4 linked regions of the Caenorhabditis elegans genome follow. The protein of the gene in region 1 interacts with the protein of each later gene in a pairwise test. Each region holds a gene or a part of one and is shown on either strand. Other genes may lie near its edges. The genes, in order: klp-15, cpr-5, hrpr-1 and K07E1.1.

Region 1 (4,476 bases):
ACTTCTTGGATTCAAACGTCTTGATCTTCTTTTATGGGTTGAGGTTTCACCAGAGCGTAACCAAATTCCGCTCATTCTTGACGTGAAAACGATTTCTGATGCTCTCAATATTTTGTAATTATTTCTATTGCTTGCTACCTGAATTCACGTGTACCACAATATAGTCATGTATTATTTAATTGTTCTTGTTTTTTTGTTGTTTCCAAATACAATACAACTGTTTTAAGCTTTTTCTTTCGTTAAAATTTCTTTAAAACAGAAATGTAACAAAAAACATAAATTTAAACAAACTGTATGGAAAACTGTACAGTTTTCGATACAACGAGAGTTTGAAACTACAGTACTCTTTAAAGGGTCATGCCATTTTCGAATTCATCAAAAGTTCGTCGGGTCGAGACATACATACTACAGTAAGAAATGTAATATTCTCATAAAGCTCAAAACAATGTATTTATAACCCAATCAACAGCATTTAGACCGGACTATATTTTTCCTATCGGGATCTCCCTTTGTTTTGAAACAGACGATTAAAACTCAAAAAACGCAAAGTAAAATTGAAATTCGTTCATTTTGTTAATGATCGAAATATTTAGGTTACATCAGTATAAAAGGTTTGCATAAGGCAATAAAAATAACGTTATTTTACATGAAATGTTAGAATAGAATTATATGTCTAGTTCATAGACATCTGGGACACGTCACCCAAGAGAGTCCGTTGCTGCACGGCCGATCCGATGTTAGTACTGCGCATCTTTGAGGCGAATTCGATGCTTCTCTTGGACTCTGTCGCTTGCTCGTTGCATGGATTGAGATTGACCACAACCATAGTCTTCGAGTTGCCACGTCCCAAGCAGTCCATCAGCACTTGTGTCAGTTTGCTGTCGCGATATGAAACATGTCCCTTCTGGGATCTTTGCTGGCTGATGCACATCTGAAGGATAGACAACGACTGGTTGATATTAGTCATCTCCTTGAACTGGTCGCCACTGACACCAGACTCCTTGGCACGTTCGGATCCTGCGAGATCCACAAGTTTGAGCTGGCACGATGTTGAAATTCCTGTATATCAATATTGTGAATTAATTATTTTTATTTTCGAAAGTTACCAGTTGATGGCTGATGAGCTGTAATCTTCCACATATAAACGGCGTGCGAACGAGACGAGCTCTCATTGCACTTTGTCGCCGCCGTCTTCCTGCCACCGTCTGCTACACGAAGAAGTCTAGCCACATCCGAGACATTGGAAATCGTGTGCTCGGAGAGCCCAATCATGGAAACCGTTTGATCGTTCAAACGAAGTTGGACAACGGCGCGGTCACTGAGAAGGTCGTATGCCACGTTGTTGTAGACTTCTAGGAAAGACAACGAGAAGTCGAATTTCCATCCAAGTGACTCGAGCTTTCTGGATTCGGCGAACAGAAATGCAGCTGCTCTCGGGATGATTCCTTCCTCTTCACCATTTCCTCCTCGCATCGTGTGAGTTTTGCCACTTCCGGTTTGTCCATAGGCAATCAATCCGACGTTGTACCCATGCAGTGACGACTGAAATTATCAATTTTCAATTATTAATATTATATTTTGAAACTAACCCGAATGAACTCCTCGACGTTCGCGAACACTTCCTTCTGCGAGAAGACTGGCGTGAAAACCTTCTCGAATTTGACCACAATTCCAGGCTTCGAGCCTTCATTGATTCTGATGGTATCGATAGCCGGATACTCAATTGCAGAACTCGAGGCGTCGGCTTCAGATTTGATCAACGGCCGAACGCGAACAGCCACACGAATTTGACCGCGTAAATCGACAACATCGTTGTGCAACTTTCTCAACTCAGCTTCCTTTTCGTTGAGCAGATCCCGGAGATCGTTGTTGTGCACACGATAATCCTCGCACTCCTCCACTTTCGCCTTGTTGACTTCTTTCAGCGTGCTCAATTGATCTTGCAGTGAAATCAGCTTGCGATCCGCTCCTTCAAGTTTGCCATCCAGGATTTGGATCTTGCTCTTCTGATGTTCAGCAAAGTCGGTAGCCTCAGCCATCGCACTCTCGAGCTGCGCAATTTTCTCTTCAAGAAGCGCCATCTTAGAAGGGAGAATAGGCTTCTGTGCCACTGGTCGGGCTCTTGTCACCGACGGCTTCAGGGAAGAAGTCGCAGTTGAGCGTTGAGTGGATGGTGGCGGTGGACGACCTGTGCGAAGTTGTCGAAACGTAGAAGCTGCCGTCAGTGTGGAAATACGGCTCGCGGTGGATTGCATCGTTGGTATGGGACGGGAACACGACGCTGGTTTGGCCATCGCTGATCGTTCTGGCAACGATGCTCTACCAGTTGCAGGCGTTGTGGGGGTAGGCAAACGAGACGGAGGACGACGAGCAGCGGCTGAAAACTCGTAATTAAAGTAGTTGTTAACAAAAAAGGTTTTAAACAAAAACAAAAACATGTTTTATTTAGAAGTGTGAACACTTTGAAATCACGAGGAAGTTATTTAAAAACACAAATGACAAATTTACCTCCAATCGTTATTCCTCCAGGAGCCGACTGTCTTGGGATTGTTGTTGAATTGGCTTCTTTGGTGGATGGCGCGGCAGCACGTCCTCTTGTGATCTTCGGCGTTGCTCCGATAGTCGACCGAAACAGGCCACTTCTTCTTCGAGCGACATTCATCGCGAAATTTGGGACAAAAATGAGGAAATCAGCCCCTTCATTGACATTTTCCCGCTCAAAGTTGAACTCCGCCTCTGAAAATTCCCGCCAAATCGAATGGATTACCGTAGTCAACTACGGTATTAGATCAAAAATTTATATCATGTTGAGCTCATCCAGAATTGTCGGATATAATTATTTTGTTGTCAAAAGGCATAAAGAATGCCGTAAAAATTATTTATAACTATAACACAGAAGGCTTATCCATAATTGCACTGATATCAGGTTATACAAACAAATATATAAAATGCAGGTCTAGAAATTATAATGTGAGCGACACTCCGATATTCCGGTGCGCGCCTTGTTTACCGTATATCTACACCAAAGTAATTGCAAAAAAAAAATTTGAAAATATTTGCTTGCGAAAATTTTTATACACTTTCTTCAATATTTTGATTTTTCTGTGGTTTTTTAAAAATATAGGTTGGTAAATGATTGTTTCCAGATGACTTCTATCGATGTAACAGAGATTATCAAATCATCGACATCTTCTTTGTATCAGGTAAATTGATATTAAATTTTTTTGATTATAAATAGTTTACAGCCAGCAAGAAAGAAATCTCGTTTTGACGATAGTGCTTCTTCTTCATCTCAAGCTGGCCAGCCAAAACCAGAAGATATTCTTGCGGCTTTGGAAGCCGATCAATCAAATTATGTGGCTCTCGACGATGTGCAAGTTAAGAAACTTGTTATTCAACTTGACAAAAAGATGCGATTAAATCGAGAACAAAGAGTTAAAAATCCAGATGATGCTCAGAAATTCATGGAATCGGAAATTGAATTAGACAAGGCAATTCAAGAAATGCATAGTCTGGCTTCTCAACCAGACCTTTATGGATCGTTTGTTGAAGTCAACGGAGTTGAAATTCTTCTTCAATTATTAGGACACGAGAATACTGATATTGTGTGTGCAACACTTAGTCTCTTGAGAGAACTTACAGACGATGATGTGATGAACGAAGGAGAAGATGGAGCAGCTGAACTTATTGAAAGTCTTGTGTCTGGATCGATTATCACAACTTTGTTAGCATGCGTAGAGAGGCTCGATGAAAGCGTCAAAGATGAAGCGGATGGCGTCCATAATGCACTCGGAGTTGTGGACAATGTAAGAAAAATCGATATTTGAAAAACAAAACAATATATTTTCAGATGATTGGTTTCCGCGATGACATTACTGAAGAATGCGTAAAGCACGGATTCACGGTTTGGCTTCTGAAAAGATGCTTTCAGAAAGGTGCATTTGATGCGAATAAGATGTACGCTTCGGAACTTCTTTCAGTCATATTGCAGACTTCTGATACTGCAAAGGCAAAGCTGACAGAGAAAATTGATGGCATCGATATTTTATTGAGAGTGAGTAGCCAAACAAAGTATCAAGAATAAATTGAACTTTTAAGACCATTGCTGTGTACAAAAAGAACGATCCAGCAAATGTAGACGAACGAGAATACATGGAAAATCTATTCAACTCACTTTGTGCCGCACTTATGCATCCGGCTAATCGAAGTACGAATTTTTTTGAATATAAACACCAAAAAAATTGCTCTTGTTCAAAATAAATGTTTTCAGAAAAGTTCCTCGACGGAGAAGGTCTTCAATTGATGAATTTGATGCTCCGAGAGAAGAAACAAGCAAGACAAAGTGCTCTGAAAGTTCTGAACCATGCAACATCAGGAGACGAGGGAATCGAAAATTGCAATAAACTTGTCGAAATGCTCGGATTGAGAACAATTTTCCCGTTATTCATGAGAACACCTTCAAAGACAAAAAGAAAG
Region 2 (3,621 bases), on another chromosome or scaffold:
AATGTTTGGAAGTGAATCAGAGCGAATTTCACAAATAATTTCTCGAATAAAGAGCACAGGCTAACTGAAAATCGGCCCAATGACCATTCCGGGCTGTTCTTTTTGTTCGCCAGTTAGCCGTCTGTAGTTTCGATAAGAGGCAGGCGCGGGTTCAAAGTCTGATGGCCTGCCTGACACCTGATCACCGAAAGCGGGCCTCCTCGCTTCAATTCTACAGGCATGAAATCAAAGATTTGGGGTCTACGCAACGCTCACTTTTTGGGTTCAGAGCCATATTATACAAAAGGCGCGGCGCGTGGCAGGCGGAGGTAGCCGCAAGGTGTCCGCAACATGGCAGCCTGCACGGGTTCCCTAGTCCGCGGTTTGTCTGCTGCCGTCAGGCCGGTTTTGAGCAAATCCGCTCCGTCTCCCACCCTTCTCGTAAAAGTTCGACCGGCCAATTTTTTTCAGCCAATTACAGAGATACTGAAAAACGAGGTTATACTTTAAATAATATCATAGCAAATTATAAAATATTTATCATCATTTCATAATATACACATGGAAATCTCCCTGAAGAATTATTTTAAAAAAGTTCCGATAGCAGCCTTAGTTGTGACGAGCCAAGTCTGGAATTCCGGCAACAGCCGAGTGCTCGATTCCACACTCGTTGAGTCCACGAATGATACGGAAGTATCCCTTCTCTCCCCAGGCGACGTTCCACGAGTTGGCGACAAGCCAGTATGGGGTTCCGTTGTCGACTCCCCATCCGAGGATCTTGACGGCGTGTCCTCCGAGGGAGGCTCCGGCGGTGTGTACGTACACTCCAGTGGTGTATTGGTAGAAGTCCTCGTAGACGGTGAAGGCAACCTCGATTGGTCCGTTCGTAAGAATCTCGGTCTGGATTTGCTCGACCTTCTTTCCGACGGCGTAGGCGGTAGATCCTAGAACTTCATAGTGTTAACCAGCGCCGCTTACACGTGTAAACTCACCAAAGTGCTTATCCTGAAGATATGGGGTGGCGTAGTTGTTCTTGGAAGTGCAGGAGTCGACACACTTTGGAGTTGGCTCGGTGTCTTCTGGGCATGCTGGCCACTTGACGCCGTTCACAGTCTCGCCGCATGGAGCGATCGAGTATGGCTTGCATCCGAACTGGGTCTCGTAGGATCCTCCGGTGACGAGACCGTGCTTGACCCACCACTTCCATGCCTGGATTGGGTAACCTCCTTCGCAACTGGAAAAAAATGGTTTTGAAAGCAACTGTGAGTCCATGCCGATCACTGTGTTCTTATCAGCAAGAACTTTCGATTTTGGAGATTAAAACTACGGCGCTAGAGATCATTTTGTCATAAACGGAATTTGTCGATTCTTATCGTTTTTGTGTAGACGCGTAGTTTTCAAATCAGAATCGGAGCCTTACCCATTTCCGCAGCTGAACATTCCGGTGCAGCACGAGAGCAGATCTTCAGATGAGAGCAAAGTGTTAACGGCTCCATTGGAGGCAATGCATGTTCTGTCGGAGATAGCTTCAGCAGCGGCGAACGCCCAGCAGGAACCGCAGTCAGATTGATCTCTAATGTTATTGATGGACATGCAGTTTGGCCATTGATCACGAGCATCGAAGTGGTCTGGAATAGCGTCGGAGACCTCAGTAGCGACAATATCCTCATCCTTGTGTGGCACCAAATACTTAACATCCATCAGCTTCTTGGTGATCTTCTCCTTTGGAATGACTTGATGTCCAGCGGTCCAAAGCTTTTGGGCAGAGTTGACATAGTCGATCAAAGCTTGTCCAGTGAGAGCTGGGGCTTCACGGTGTCCAGGAATCACCACAGCCGAGGCAGCAGCCACGAGAAGAATAGCGGAGAGCTTCCACATTATGAGAGAAGTGTCTGCGAAGGTTCGCGTCTAATGCTCATTAAGTAGTCGGTACGCATCATTCTTATCAGTTAATTTTATCAGTATCTTTTTTAAGAATTAAAAATTAAAAGGAATGTGACGTAAATGAGTCGCGCGCCAAATATACTTTCACTTGTCGGAATAGATCATTGATGTAAACATTTTTTAATACTGTAAAAATTCTAAGGGGATTAGGAATTAGGGATGAGCCTAATACCTAAGCTTAATGCCTAAGCCTAAGCCTGAGCCTAAGCATAAGCATAAGCATAAGCATAAGCAAAAGCATAAGCATAAGCATAAGCGTAAACCAAAGCGTACGCCTAAGCCTAACTCTAAGCCTAAGCCTACGCCTAAGCCTATGCCTAAGCCTAAGCCTAAGCATAAACCTAAGCCGAAGCACAAGCCTAAGCCTAAGAATAAGCTTAAAAGTAGGCATAAGCCTAGTCCAGAATTATTAAAGCAGATTTTATGAAAATCCATGAATTTTAGTAGAGCTGCATAAAATTTACTTTGAAGCAATTTTGTTAATCATTGTTCACCGAATAAGCTCCGCTTGCATTTCTTTTTGGATAATATGATGTAAATTTTCTGAACTTTGCAACTTCAAATCAATGATAAGAAAGCATTGAATCAATCATTTCTAACCCGAAATGCGGAAAATATTGATTTGCCTGATCGGAGTCCTATTTCAAGCCGATGGAGTACCACCTTCAGGTTTTTTTACAAATTGTATTTCTAGATTGAAAGCAATATTTTCAGAAATTGACCGGATAATTCATTATGTGAATTCGCAAAAAACTACTTGGACTGCTGGGATTCCTGCTCTGAGCCGGAATTCTATGCTGAAAACTCTTGTCACAGACGCTGCAACTATAGGATTCAAAATCCAGAATTTCGGGGTGTCACAAGCAAATTCCGATCTATCTCCTTCATTTGATGCGAGAGAACGTTGGCCGGAGTGCATGTCAATTCCACAGATCAACGATATTTCAGAATGTAGTGAGTTTTGCTTTAAATTCCAGAATATGAACGGTAATGGCCTAAATTTTTCAGAGACAAGTTGGGCGTTCGCAGCAGCCGAATCAATGTCTGACAGGCTTTGCATTAATTCCGGAGGATTTAAAAATACCATTTTATCCGCTGAAGAACTTTTGAGTTGTTGCACGGGAATGTTTTCCTGTGGGGAAGGGTGAGGTGTAGTTGCACGTCTCTACAGGTCCAGTGATCCTGTCAAAATTTAGAAGCGGATGGCAGGCAGGCAGGCAAACCTGGAGGCGTGTCTGCCTACCAACAAAAGTTTGCGAAGAAAAGTCTCTATCTTATCAACTTTCAAAATTTTTAAAGCTCGTAAATTTTTCAACATTGAGAAATGTATATTTAATCAATTTTCTTGCGGCGCGTGATGCAAATTTGAGAAAAAAGTGCAACAACTGCAAAATTGTTTGATTAAACGCAGACGTGCTTTTTATTAAAGGTGGAGTAGCGCCAGTGGGGAAAATGTTAAAAACTATTTATATGGTGCCAAAATGACCGAATATCATAATAAAACGTTTCGAAAAATTTTTGAACTTTTTTTATTTACTGTCAGAAAGTGACAATTACTCAGTTTTTGCCACTCATAATTTTGGAAGTCGACCAAAAAAAAAATGTTTTTCCTACATTTTTTATACTTTAATTTTGTTTTAATTATTTATATTATAACATTGTAGGGGTCGAAATATGCGACAATGCTTTGGATTTCCT
Region 3 (7,042 bases), 6.5 Mb from region 1:
CCGCTTTTTCTTCTTTTCATCGCTCATCTGACGAAGGTTCTCCCTGCAAAAAAAGATATATTTAAAAATTAAATTTGAAAATCGTGAAATTTAGGTGTTGCGGGGGCGTGGCGACGTTTGCAAACTTGCGGCGCGGTTTTTTTTTGATTTTTCAGCGATTATTTTAGAAAAAATTCACTTTTTTCTGCATTTTTTTGTAAAAAAATTGAAGATTTTGAGTGAAAAAGGCATTTATTTTTTGGTTGAGGCTCGAAAATTTTACATTAATTTTTTTTTTCTGACAAAAACTGGATAAAAGTATTAATTTTTTGTAAAAATCCAAAAATATTTTATATTTTCCAAATCCTGAAAATCCCAAAAAAAACCACGCCGCAGGCTTGCAAACGACGCTCCGCCCTTTTTTCCCTGCCGCATTGCAAAATTCTCCGAGCTTTTTGTAGAAAACTGCGAAAAAAAAGATCTGAAACAGAGAAATCAAATTTGGGCAAACTTCCGAAAGAAAGAGTAAAAATTTTGAACGAAATTTTTTTTTATTTTATTTTAAAATTGTGTGTGCGTCCAATTTTCACAGCAAAAGGTGAAAATTTCGAGACACAGAAAAAAAAAACGGAATAAAACGGTTTCAAATGGAGAGAGAGGGAGAGGGTGAAGGGAATAGAGAAACAGAGAGAGAGAGAGATACGTTAAAAACCATTTTTTGCAAAGCTCAATATCAAAATCTCTATTACAATTAATGAGAAAATACAACTTTTCAGAATGGTTTTTGTCACTTTTTGAGGTCGTGAGAGATTAACGGGTTGGGTTGAGGAGAGAGAGGGAGTGGAAAAATTTTTTAAAAAATTCGAAAAAGAAATGAGGGTAATATGTATATAAATTATAGAATTTCGATTTTTCGCACCACTTTCTAAAGTCGAACGATTTTTGAGATCAAAACCATTCGAAAAACGAAACAAAAAAATTTAGAAAAATAATGCAAAATGCAAAATTTTTGGTTGAAAAAGTTTAAAATTTTTTAAAAAATGGGGGGAGTGAAAAATAATTTAAAAAACAAAGAAAAAGTGAGTTTCTGCCGGGGGTGCAATTTAGAAAGTGCTCATGTTGACGTCAGCCGAGAAATCAGGCTTTCCGTTGTCTCGTTTCGATGCTGGTCCCCCTCGTCCGTCTCCCGGGCGCTTTCCTCGACCGCGTCTGTTTGCCCTGTAACCTCAGACATTTATTAGGATTATTCTTGCACAATTTTATAAAGATATATGGAGAATTCTGCGCCAGTGGGGGGGGGGGGGGGGGGGGGGGAAATTGATTTGAAAAACACAAAAAATTAATTTTGAACTACCCTTGTTCAATAGAGCGCGCTTGTATTTTTTATTTATTTTAATGCATTTTTAGTTTATTTTTCTCATTTTCTACTGATTTTTTATATTTTCAGTGTATTTTTATTGGAAATTTGAAGAAACGTTTGCAAGATTAATGCAAATTTTTCACAATAAGGCAACTTTATGGTTACGTACCCATACAGATGCTCTCTAGTGAAAAATTTGCATTTTTCTTGAAATTTTCTTCAAATTTCCAGTGAAAATTTACAGAAAAATCATTGGAAAATGTGAGAAACGAATTTTTTAAAAATTACAAAAAATGCAAGCGCGCTCTATCGAACAAGGGCAGTTCAAAATTAATTTTTTTGTAATTTTTTAGACAAATTCCGTCCACTGGCGCAGCAGCACTCCACCACACTTCAAAACTTACATTCCACCGCGTCCAGGTGGTCCACCACGGAATCCTCCTCCACCGCCCATTCCTCCTCTCGGCGATCCACGCATTCCTCCTCTAAATCCACCGCCTCCGTAGGCTCCAAAATCTCCATAGGCTCCCGGGCCACCGTATCCACCACCGTAACCTCCTCCATATGCACCATATCCCATGTCACCACCGTAGCCACCTCCCCAAGGCATTGGCATGTCGTAGCCATTGTTGAAGCTGAAAATGTGTTGATTTTTCATAGTTTTTCACTGAATTAACTCACTGATTTGGATAATAACCTCCTGGTCCAGCATTTCCACCCCACTGACCACCTCCACGTTGTCCACCACGTTGTCCATGATTTCCAGCACCACCACCAGCTCCACCGAATCCACGCCCACGCATCACTGGCTTCTTCTTCTTCTCCTGTGGTGGCTTGGCGAGTGAAGCTTCAACAACAGTTCCCTCGAGCTCTTTTCCATTCCATTCTTCCATTGCTTTCAGGCAATCGTCACGCTCGTTGAAGTGGATGAACGCGTAGTCCTTCACCTTCTTAACTCTATCCAGACTTGCGTATTCCTTGAAGAGCTCGTTCAGCTTCTCCTCGGTCACTGCTTCCTTGATGTTTCGGATGTACAGCACCTTCACCTTCGACATGGTATCCTCGTCTGGCTCTTCTTGATGCTCAGCCCAATCCACGTAGACATCAGCGTTGAATGGACGTATCTGGAAAGAATATTTTTATTTTTGCTATTTTCAGAGAAAAATCGTGTAGATTTACGCAGCTCGTGTAGTTCTCGAGGAGAAAATTGTCTGTTTTGGAACGTTTTTTTTTACCTTTTAAATATAAAAATGTATAGTTTTATAAGTTACAATGCCTCAAAAATCAAGAAGTACATAGATTTTCACTTAAAATACTGTATTCTAGACGAAAATCGATTTCTCTTGACTCGTATGCTCTTTTTGGCTATAATGCTTCTTTTGTGCCATTTTCGCTGCCTTTTTACCTTTAAAATGGCTAATTTTATAGCATTTTAGGTGAAAAATTGATTTTTCTCGATTTTCACATAAAGCACTTTGAATTAGCCGCTTAAAGGGGGAAAATGTCCCAGAAATCAAGTATTTTCACTTTTTAAGTCGCTAATTCCAATTGTTTTACGTGAATATCGAGAAAAATCAATTTTTCACTTAAAATGCTATAAAATTAGCCATTTTAAAGGTAAAAAGCCAGCGAAAATGCAGCGTAAATCCTCCAAATCATCCAAAAATTCACCTTATGCTGTGCAATCTTTCTCTTGATATCAGAAGCCGTCTTGTGATCGATGAAATCAACGAAACAGAATCCACGATTCTTTATTTTCTCATTGTCCGGCACCGAGTAGACGATAACGTCAACTACGCCCTCTGAAATGTTAAATTATTGCTGAAAGTGGCTAGATTGAAAATAATAATAATAATAGTAATATTGATTAATAAAAAAGACCACACGATCACAATAGAAAAAATAAATAGGATACAGAAAGAAGAAAAAAAATCGATTTTTTCTTCGCTTTTTTCACTTTTTTTGAATCTTTATTGCTTGAAAATCGAGAAAATGTTTCGAAAATGGGTTCTGTACCTGCATGAGTCTTGAGCTCTTCAAGAATTTCGTCTTTAGATTTCGTCTTCGGAATATTGCCAATAAAAAGGCGAGTGTTAGCGATCGAAACGTTCACTTTGAGTGGTTTTCCAGTCGAAATTTCGTGGCCGTCATACTAAAGTAAAGAAAATGGATGAAATGCGTTGTGATGTTGGTTTTTAAATGGTTTTTTGGCTCGGAAGGCGGGAATTCTCTCCAATTGTGTCCAAAATGCAATAATGAATAAACACAACGCATTGGGAAGCAATTTTTCAATGGCTAGAGGCATCACCCTACCCTACTGCTCTGAAATTGCATGGGGAAAGCCTAAACTTACAGTCTTGGCGGCAGCCGCAGCGTCTTCCTTATTACAATACGTGACAAAAGCATATCCACGGGAAGCACCGGACATTGGATCCATCATAAGACGGAGATCCCAGATTTTTCCGGATTTCTCGAAGAGGGGAACCAGGGTGTCTTCGAAGACGTCCGTTGGAATGTGTCCGACGTAGATCTGAAAATGGTTGAATAGGTGAGGGTCTCATAAAAAGAGAATTCGCAAAACTGGGATCTGGCAGCGGTAGTTTTCTTTTAAAGCCATTTTTCTCGGATGCGCGTTTTTTTTCGAAATTTTAATCCGAAAAAAGGCACGAAGCCTCATGGGCACGGTCTAGAGAAAGCGAAACGTCGGTTGCAAGTTGCAAGTCTGCGGCGCGGTTTTTCGGTCTTTTTGCTTTTTTTCAGTTTAGCGATAGTAATTTTCCGCTAACTTTTTCAACTTGTAGGTTAAAGCTGAGCTATTTTTGATGAAAAATGGCCAAGTTTTCACAGTTTTTACCGTTAGAGCGTCTGAAGGAACTCTGAAATCTATAGAAACTTGGCATTGTTTTCTGGGCGAAAACGTGGTCATTTTCCTTTAAAAATAGCTGAAAAAGGAAATAATCAAGCAAAATCGATAAACTTTGAACAGAAACGGCAAAAATTGACGGAAAAGCTCTATCGCACACATAAAGAAAGGCAAAACAACGCGCCGCAGAGCATCGTTGTAACGTATTTCTTCGGGAAAATTGGCGTTAAAGCCGCTTCCAGATCTCATTTTCGTGGTGCCTCTCGCTTCTACCTCGTGTCCCTGTCCAGCTGGCCCTGTAGCAGGTCCTTCCCAATCTGGTGGAGGTCCTCCGAACTTTCTCTGTCCAATTGTGACTTCAATGGTGTATCCGGTGGTTTCCAGTAGGTTCTTCAACGCGGCCAACTCTGGTCCATTGATAAGCTTTCCGGATGTTACGGCAGCTGCTCCCTGTTGACGGCACCGATCTTTGAATGAGCGGATCAGTGAGGTGACGTAAAGCGATTTGGTGGCAACTCCGAAGAGTTCAGAGTTCTTGATTTCGGTAAAGATGAATTTTGCCTGATCGAGGTTCACCGAGTTGATGATGTCGACTGCACGATCATCGAGATCCTCTGGGCCGAGAAGTCCGGACTCGTAGATTTCGCACACGACGTCGGCGAGGGCTGGCTTCATTTTAAGCCCGATAAGCTTCTTGTAGTTCTCGGTCTCGGCGTATTTCTGGAAATTCAACGATTATTACTGATTAAGTGCGCCTTTCTAGATAGAACATACGCTTGGCTCCTCGGTCTTTCCATTTTCAGCCGGCTTATCTCCGTTGGTAACAACTTCTGCAACTACTTCTGCGACAGGAGCAGCCTCTTCGGTCTTGGCTTCAGTCGTTGTTTCTGGAGCCTCCTCCTTTACTTCCTGTTTGATTTCCTCACTCATGGCGGGAGATCTGCAAAAATCGATAATCTAAATACGATAAATTGCTCTGAAAATAGCAAAAAACTGTGAAAAATTTGATGTTCCAGCAGATTTTAAAGATTCAAATCAATTTAATTTTCAAGCCTATTTTCACAAATTTACTGGAATTTTGATTGAGAATATGAGTGAAATAAACTCTGAAATTAAGAAAAAGTCTAGATAAAGCAGAAACTGATAGAAAAATTAAGAAAAACCAGTAAAAAATCAGGAAATTGTTCAAATATTACATTGCACATGAAATACATCGAATTTCGGAGTTTTACTCAATTTTTTGAAGGATTTTATGTGAAAATTCCGGATTTTCAAGGTAATTTAACATTCTAAGAGGTTTAAAATCGTGAAAAACGAAGGATAATGCACAAAAAAGATGACGAAGACGTTCAAAATTCGAATCGAACGGCGGCAAAAACAAAAATCGAAGCGGCGAGCGTCTTCGGTACGGGATATCTTTCACACTTTGGGTAATGTCCCTTTAACTTACACCGTCTGCGTCTCTCACCCCATACCACACATCGCAGCACATCTCTCGTCGGGCGGAGCGGCCGCGTCGCGGTTTACTTGTGAACAGATGGTGTTCATTTGCACGAAAAGAGCAGCAGAAGACGTTGAATGGAACGGGAAGGGACGAGGATGTACTCTTTGAATGGAGAAAGGGAGAGATATCATGGGAAATCGAGAGGATCAGAGAGCATAGAGATTGAAAAGGACGTTTTGGATAACCATGAATGGTGTCCAGCTGCACCGGTGGGCTTCATCACTGAATACTAATTTAAAGGGACCTAGAAATAAGTTAGAGAAAGAGGCAAATAAATTCATAAAATTTTAATCTCGGTGGGAACTTTCTAGTACTTCAGTGAAAATCAAAAAGGTAAGACTCTTTCAAAGTCTTTCAAAAAACGTGTAAAATAAAATGACATTGAAAAGCTGACAGTGCCAGCGGTCTCGTGGTGTAGTGGTTATCACATCTGTCTAACACACAGAAGGTCGGTGGTTCGAGCCCGCCCGAGATCAGTCTTATTTTGCAGGTAAAAACTATTTATTTATGATAAAAATGAGGTATATTTAGATGAGAAAGACCATGGATTTGTTCAATTATTTATTTTTATTATTTTGATGATTTATTGAGGAAGAACTGAAGATGTCGGTTGTGGTGGTCTCCAGCTACACCGGCGAGCATCATTGAGCAAGACACAGATTTCTATGAAATAAAGAGCCGAACACAAGAATAGAGCAGCCTAAAAAAGAGCTCCGAGTCTTAGAATTTTATAAGTTACTTACCGTAGCCAGTGCTGGCATCGTAGCCCATTCGGGATTCATTTCAGCCCAATGAGCCGCACAAAACACCCACATCAAGATGGCAGACACAAGGAGGCCCACCGAAACGAGCACATACAGAAGAGCTTCCTGAAAAATAAAGAAAAACTATTTTTTATTTGCATTTAGAATAGGGAAATCGAATTTTACCTTAAAAAATTAAACAATTCGAAAACCCAAGGTTGTGCTCTGAGGAGAAAATGCGGGTTTTCCGACTTTTTTCAGAGAAAAATTCAAATTCTACACATTTTAAATGCATTCTATCACAAAATTGAAGTAATTTACATTTAAATGTAAGTTTATATATAAAAATGCGAATTTTTCGCCAAATTCTCATCAGTGCGCAAGTGCAGGGTAGTGCAATTGTGCTCTGCCAAGAATATTTGATTTTCTCACAGTTTCTAGTGTTTTTTTTTGTAGAAAAAAAGGTTACTGAGGAAGTGTCAGTTCACATCTCGAACTATCTTGGCTTGATCTTTCTGACCGGTTCAACGTTCTTTTTGTTGAACCAGGCTTATTCTTTTTAGGGAATAAACCCACTGCCTGACCCGCCTGGG
Region 4 (3,447 bases), on another chromosome or scaffold:
ATTCAATTTTTATTTAATTTCAAACGGAATTCTTTATATTTTTGTTTTTTTTTAAATATTTTTGCATTAAATTTTTTTCAAAATGATTTTTATTCAAATTTCAAAAAATACTGAAAATTGAAACCGCTTTTGTAACTAAAAATTTAAAAAAAAATTCTGTCGAAATATTGTCTTTACAAGAATTAAGGTACGCAATTTCATGCGCCTACTTTGTGCCTACGAGCATACCTACTACCTTGTCTAATTTTTTAATGATTTTTTAGTCGATGAAATAATGTACATAAAAACAAATTTTGAATTGCTGAGCTCTAGTTCAATAACTTTAAAAATGCAGTCGAATAGAAGTAGGTAGGTAGGTAGGCAAGTAGGCACAAAAACTTATCCGAATTCATAACCATAATGATTTTCCAAATATTTTAACCTAGACGAACCTTTGAATAAAAAAATCTATAATTTTCTTCTAGCTTCTTCAAAGATAATAAAAATCAGAATAAATTGTGAAAAAATTATAAACTGATTAACTCCGGCCTGAATTGATGTCAGCTGCCCATTTTTAATCTACCGTGACTACCTAGATGGGTACATCTGTATTTTTGTAGCCATTGGACCTTAACTAGGCAAAACAAGTACCCATAATATCACAAATCAGCATGTTTTCTCCGTCCAAACATCCTTGTTTTCATCGTAAAATCAGTCAGAAGGTATCACCAAAAACGTGTTGATACCCAAAAAAAATATATCAAAAATCAGTGCATAGAGTTCGACGAACAAACTCTAAACATTTATGGAACACGAGATTTCAAATTCAAATTACCCTACTTGTCAAATGAACCAATATCTTTAGCCTATCAACTCCCACTGATAACTCAAATGAAGTCGTCGAGGACGTGTCGGCAATCGGCCGAATAGCCAATTTACAAAACTCAATCATCAAGTTGCCAATCTCTTTTTACCCCTACCTACCCCGCCAAGGTTACCACATTCGGTTTGTTCTCCACTGTATATCAACCCGTGATGATAAAAAGAGAGTAGACCTATCTATTTTTTATTTCAAATTCTCCTCCTCTTTCTACTTGTTCGATTTGCCATTCGAGATGGAGAGGAAAAGAAATATAAAGAAAAAAGAAGGCGGGCTTGAAGTCGCCTCTTCAATTTGACAATATTCTTCATTTCAACAACCACCTGGCCACTTGTAGACTTACTTCCGCCCCCGTACTACTCTTCTGATCTGACCCTTTCATCTCGAATCGCACATGGTTTCAGTGCTTCATTTGAAGCTGCCTTGGTAGGCAGAGACATATTCAGGCCTTCGTACCTGCTCATTGCCTATTCAGTATATTTTAAACGTCAATATTTGGTATTTTCACAGTTTAGGCTTACGCCGCCAGCTAAAAAAGTTCAAGCCGAGCCATAGGTTAGCAGTAGGCACGGATAAGGCTGCTTTGGTAGGCAGGTACGCGTAGGTACCTGCCTACCGCCTATTCATTTAATTCTGACTGGAAATCTGATATTTGGTTCTTGCACAGTCTAGGTTGTTTTTTGAAAATTGTTCATTGATTTGCTGAAAGTTTAGCCTGTTCAGTTTAGGAGAAAGCACGCGTAGGTAACTGATTTCTTAATTCTCACTGTATCAATGCAATTATGCTTTATCCTTCTGACGCACGACGTTCAGTCTCTAGTTAGTGTTTGTTTGTGATATTTCAAGCATCCGACATTTTACAGGTCTTTTTTTACAATTTACCTAATTTAACTTTTCTGCCAATTGAAACTTTTTTTTGTGAATTTTCGATTTTCTTTTTTTTAAACTTGTTTTTTCCCTTCTTTCCTTTATTTTCTCCTGCTTTCAGTTTTGATTTCCAGTTAAAAATGGTGCAAATCTGGCAAATGGAGCCATACCCATGTGGTGACCCAAGACTCCCACATCATCTTTTCCCACCAAAGAAGATCACTCCAGATGAGTTGAGCAAGAGAACCGGAACACTTTACTGGAAGTTGGACACACTTGATCAAGTTGCTCTTGCCAAGCGATTGACAACCTTGAAGCTGGAGCATAGTTTCAAAAAAGAGGATATTTTCACTTTGGACGCCGAGACAACTGCTAACTTCGATGATAAGATCGAGGAGTTATTCGAGGAATCATCGGTTCCATTTGAGCAGGCAAGAATGATCATTGAGGGTACAGCTTATTATGATGTGGAGGATAAGAATGGTCAATGGGTCCGTATTTTCTGCGAGTACGGGGATTTGATTTTGATTCCAGCCAACACTTGCTTCAGATTCACAACCACACCACATGTAAGTGCTACAGTTTTTGAGGTAGTTTTGAAAAATGATAGAGAAAAGGCCATTAATGTAGGCGCCGAAACGCCTGCTTCGTCTGTCTATCTAGACCGACCTCGTGACGTGAGCTGCGCTTTCTGTCTAGTACGGCGCGGAACCAAAAAGTGTCCGGCGGCAGATAGGCAGGCAGATGTCAGGCAGGTGCCTGACCCTGAAAACGCGCCTGCCTACTATAGAAGCTAGTCTCAACTTTTTTTTTTGAGAAAAAACTAAATACTGAAAATGTGATTTTTCAAATTTGAATTTTTTAAACTTTTAGAGACTTAAAAACCCTGGTTTTTTTTTCAGAACTTTGTCAAAATGCGTCGATTCTACAAAGATGAAGATTCCGAGTAACGATTCGCCCAACACAAAAACACCATAAAATCCCTAACTGACCTTTTTTCCTAAATTTCCAAACTCTGAAATCAAATCAGTTTGTACAAAAAAATTGTCTTGTAAACTTTTCAAACCAGGCCCGGTAAAAAAAAAACTAAAAACTTCTGAAAATTCCCTTCCCATCTGTCTTGTAAATAGAGCTCTCTTCATCTCTATCTCGATATTTTCTTTCCTTTTTTATTATTTTTTTTTGCAACTAAAACTCAATAAAAAACCAATTTTCTTCGTCTTTCAACTTTGCACATTGAAACAGCACTGCTAAAGCAAAAAGAGATCAGTAGCAGATGGTCTCATCGATGAACTTATTGATAAGAAAAAGAGTAATAGTGTGTGAAAGATAGAGTACACAGGGGTAATGATGTAAGGTTTTACTCGAAAAGTTGAAAAATGCACGGAATCATTGTGATAAGAGCATGGGTTAAAAGGGTTAAGAGAGATGAGGCAATAGTTGGCATTTTTAATGCATTTGCTGTAGTTTCAAGGTATTTCAATTAAGGTATACCAACTGTTTTTTTTTAATTTTACGAATAGTTTATCACAATTTTCGCAAATATCTTCGATTTGCATTCACCCTCTTGTAAGTCTTGTCAACTCCAACATAGATTGCCACAAAACAGGTGATTTTATTTGAAACGTTTTTATAGCCTACGTCTGCCTTACCAACGACCTATTTTATTTTGGCATAAACTCGAAGGCTCTAGGCTTCAACAACTCATTTCTTAAAGATGG

The links.
Region 2: the proteins of klp-15 (region 1) and cpr-5 interact in a two-hybrid assay, tested with the Caenorhabditis elegans proteins (one large-scale study listed by BioGRID).
Region 3: the proteins of klp-15 (region 1) and hrpr-1 interact in a two-hybrid assay, tested with the Caenorhabditis elegans proteins (one large-scale study listed by BioGRID).
Region 4: the proteins of klp-15 (region 1) and K07E1.1 interact in a two-hybrid assay, tested with the Caenorhabditis elegans proteins (one large-scale study listed by BioGRID).

Annotation. Positions count from the first base shown.
Region 1 is NC_003279.8:5,576,520-5,580,995, forward strand, and holds klp-15 (Kinesin motor domain-containing protein), read right to left. Parts: upstream 2,676-4,476; 5' UTR 2,663-2,675; coding exon 2,509-2,662; intron 2,378-2,508; coding exon 1,590-2,377; intron 1,543-1,589; coding exon 1,107-1,542; intron 1,060-1,106; coding exon 674-1,059; 3' UTR 551-673; downstream 1-550. Other genes in the region: rmh-1 (RecQ-mediated genome instability protein 1 homolog), read left to right, coding at 1-118; ctnb-1 (Beta-catenin-like protein 1 N-terminal domain-containing protein), read left to right, coding at 3,147-3,203, 3,246-3,806, 3,851-4,054, 4,099-4,207, 4,271-4,476.
Region 2 is NC_003283.11:1,132,098-1,135,718, forward strand, and holds cpr-5 (Cathepsin B-like cysteine proteinase 5), read right to left. Parts: upstream 1,940-3,621; 5' UTR 1,858-1,939; coding exon 1,400-1,857; intron 1,214-1,399; coding exon 972-1,213; intron 924-971; coding exon 589-923; 3' UTR 501-588; downstream 1-500. Other genes in the region: cpr-8 (Peptidase C1A papain C-terminal domain-containing protein), read left to right, coding at 2,529-2,592, 2,638-2,877, 2,932-3,067.
Region 3 is NC_003279.8:12,059,756-12,066,797, forward strand, and holds hrpr-1 (RRM domain-containing protein), read right to left. Parts: upstream 5,143-7,042; 5' UTR 5,133-5,142; coding exon 4,977-5,132; intron 4,923-4,976; coding exon 4,476-4,922; intron 3,870-4,475; coding exon 3,693-3,869; intron 3,492-3,692; coding exon 3,356-3,491; intron 3,142-3,355; coding exon 3,011-3,141; intron 2,464-3,010; coding exon 2,021-2,463; intron 1,975-2,020; coding exon 1,744-1,974; intron 1,349-1,743; exon of another isoform or gene 1,255-1,348; intron 1,198-1,254; coding exon 1,083-1,197; 3' UTR 516-1,082; downstream 1-515. Other genes in the region: ksr-2 (Kinase suppressor of Ras B), read right to left, coding at 2-27; F58D5.2 (MARVEL domain-containing protein), read right to left, coding at 6,290-6,406, 6,450-6,575.
Region 4 is NC_003280.10:4,549,235-4,552,681, forward strand, and holds K07E1.1 (putative inactive acireductone dioxygenase 2), read left to right. Parts: upstream 1-1,848; 5' UTR 1,849-1,866; coding exon 1,867-2,295; intron 2,296-2,628; coding exon 2,629-2,676; 3' UTR 2,677-2,943; downstream 2,944-3,447. UniProt on the Caenorhabditis elegans protein: Probable inactive acireductone dioxygenase.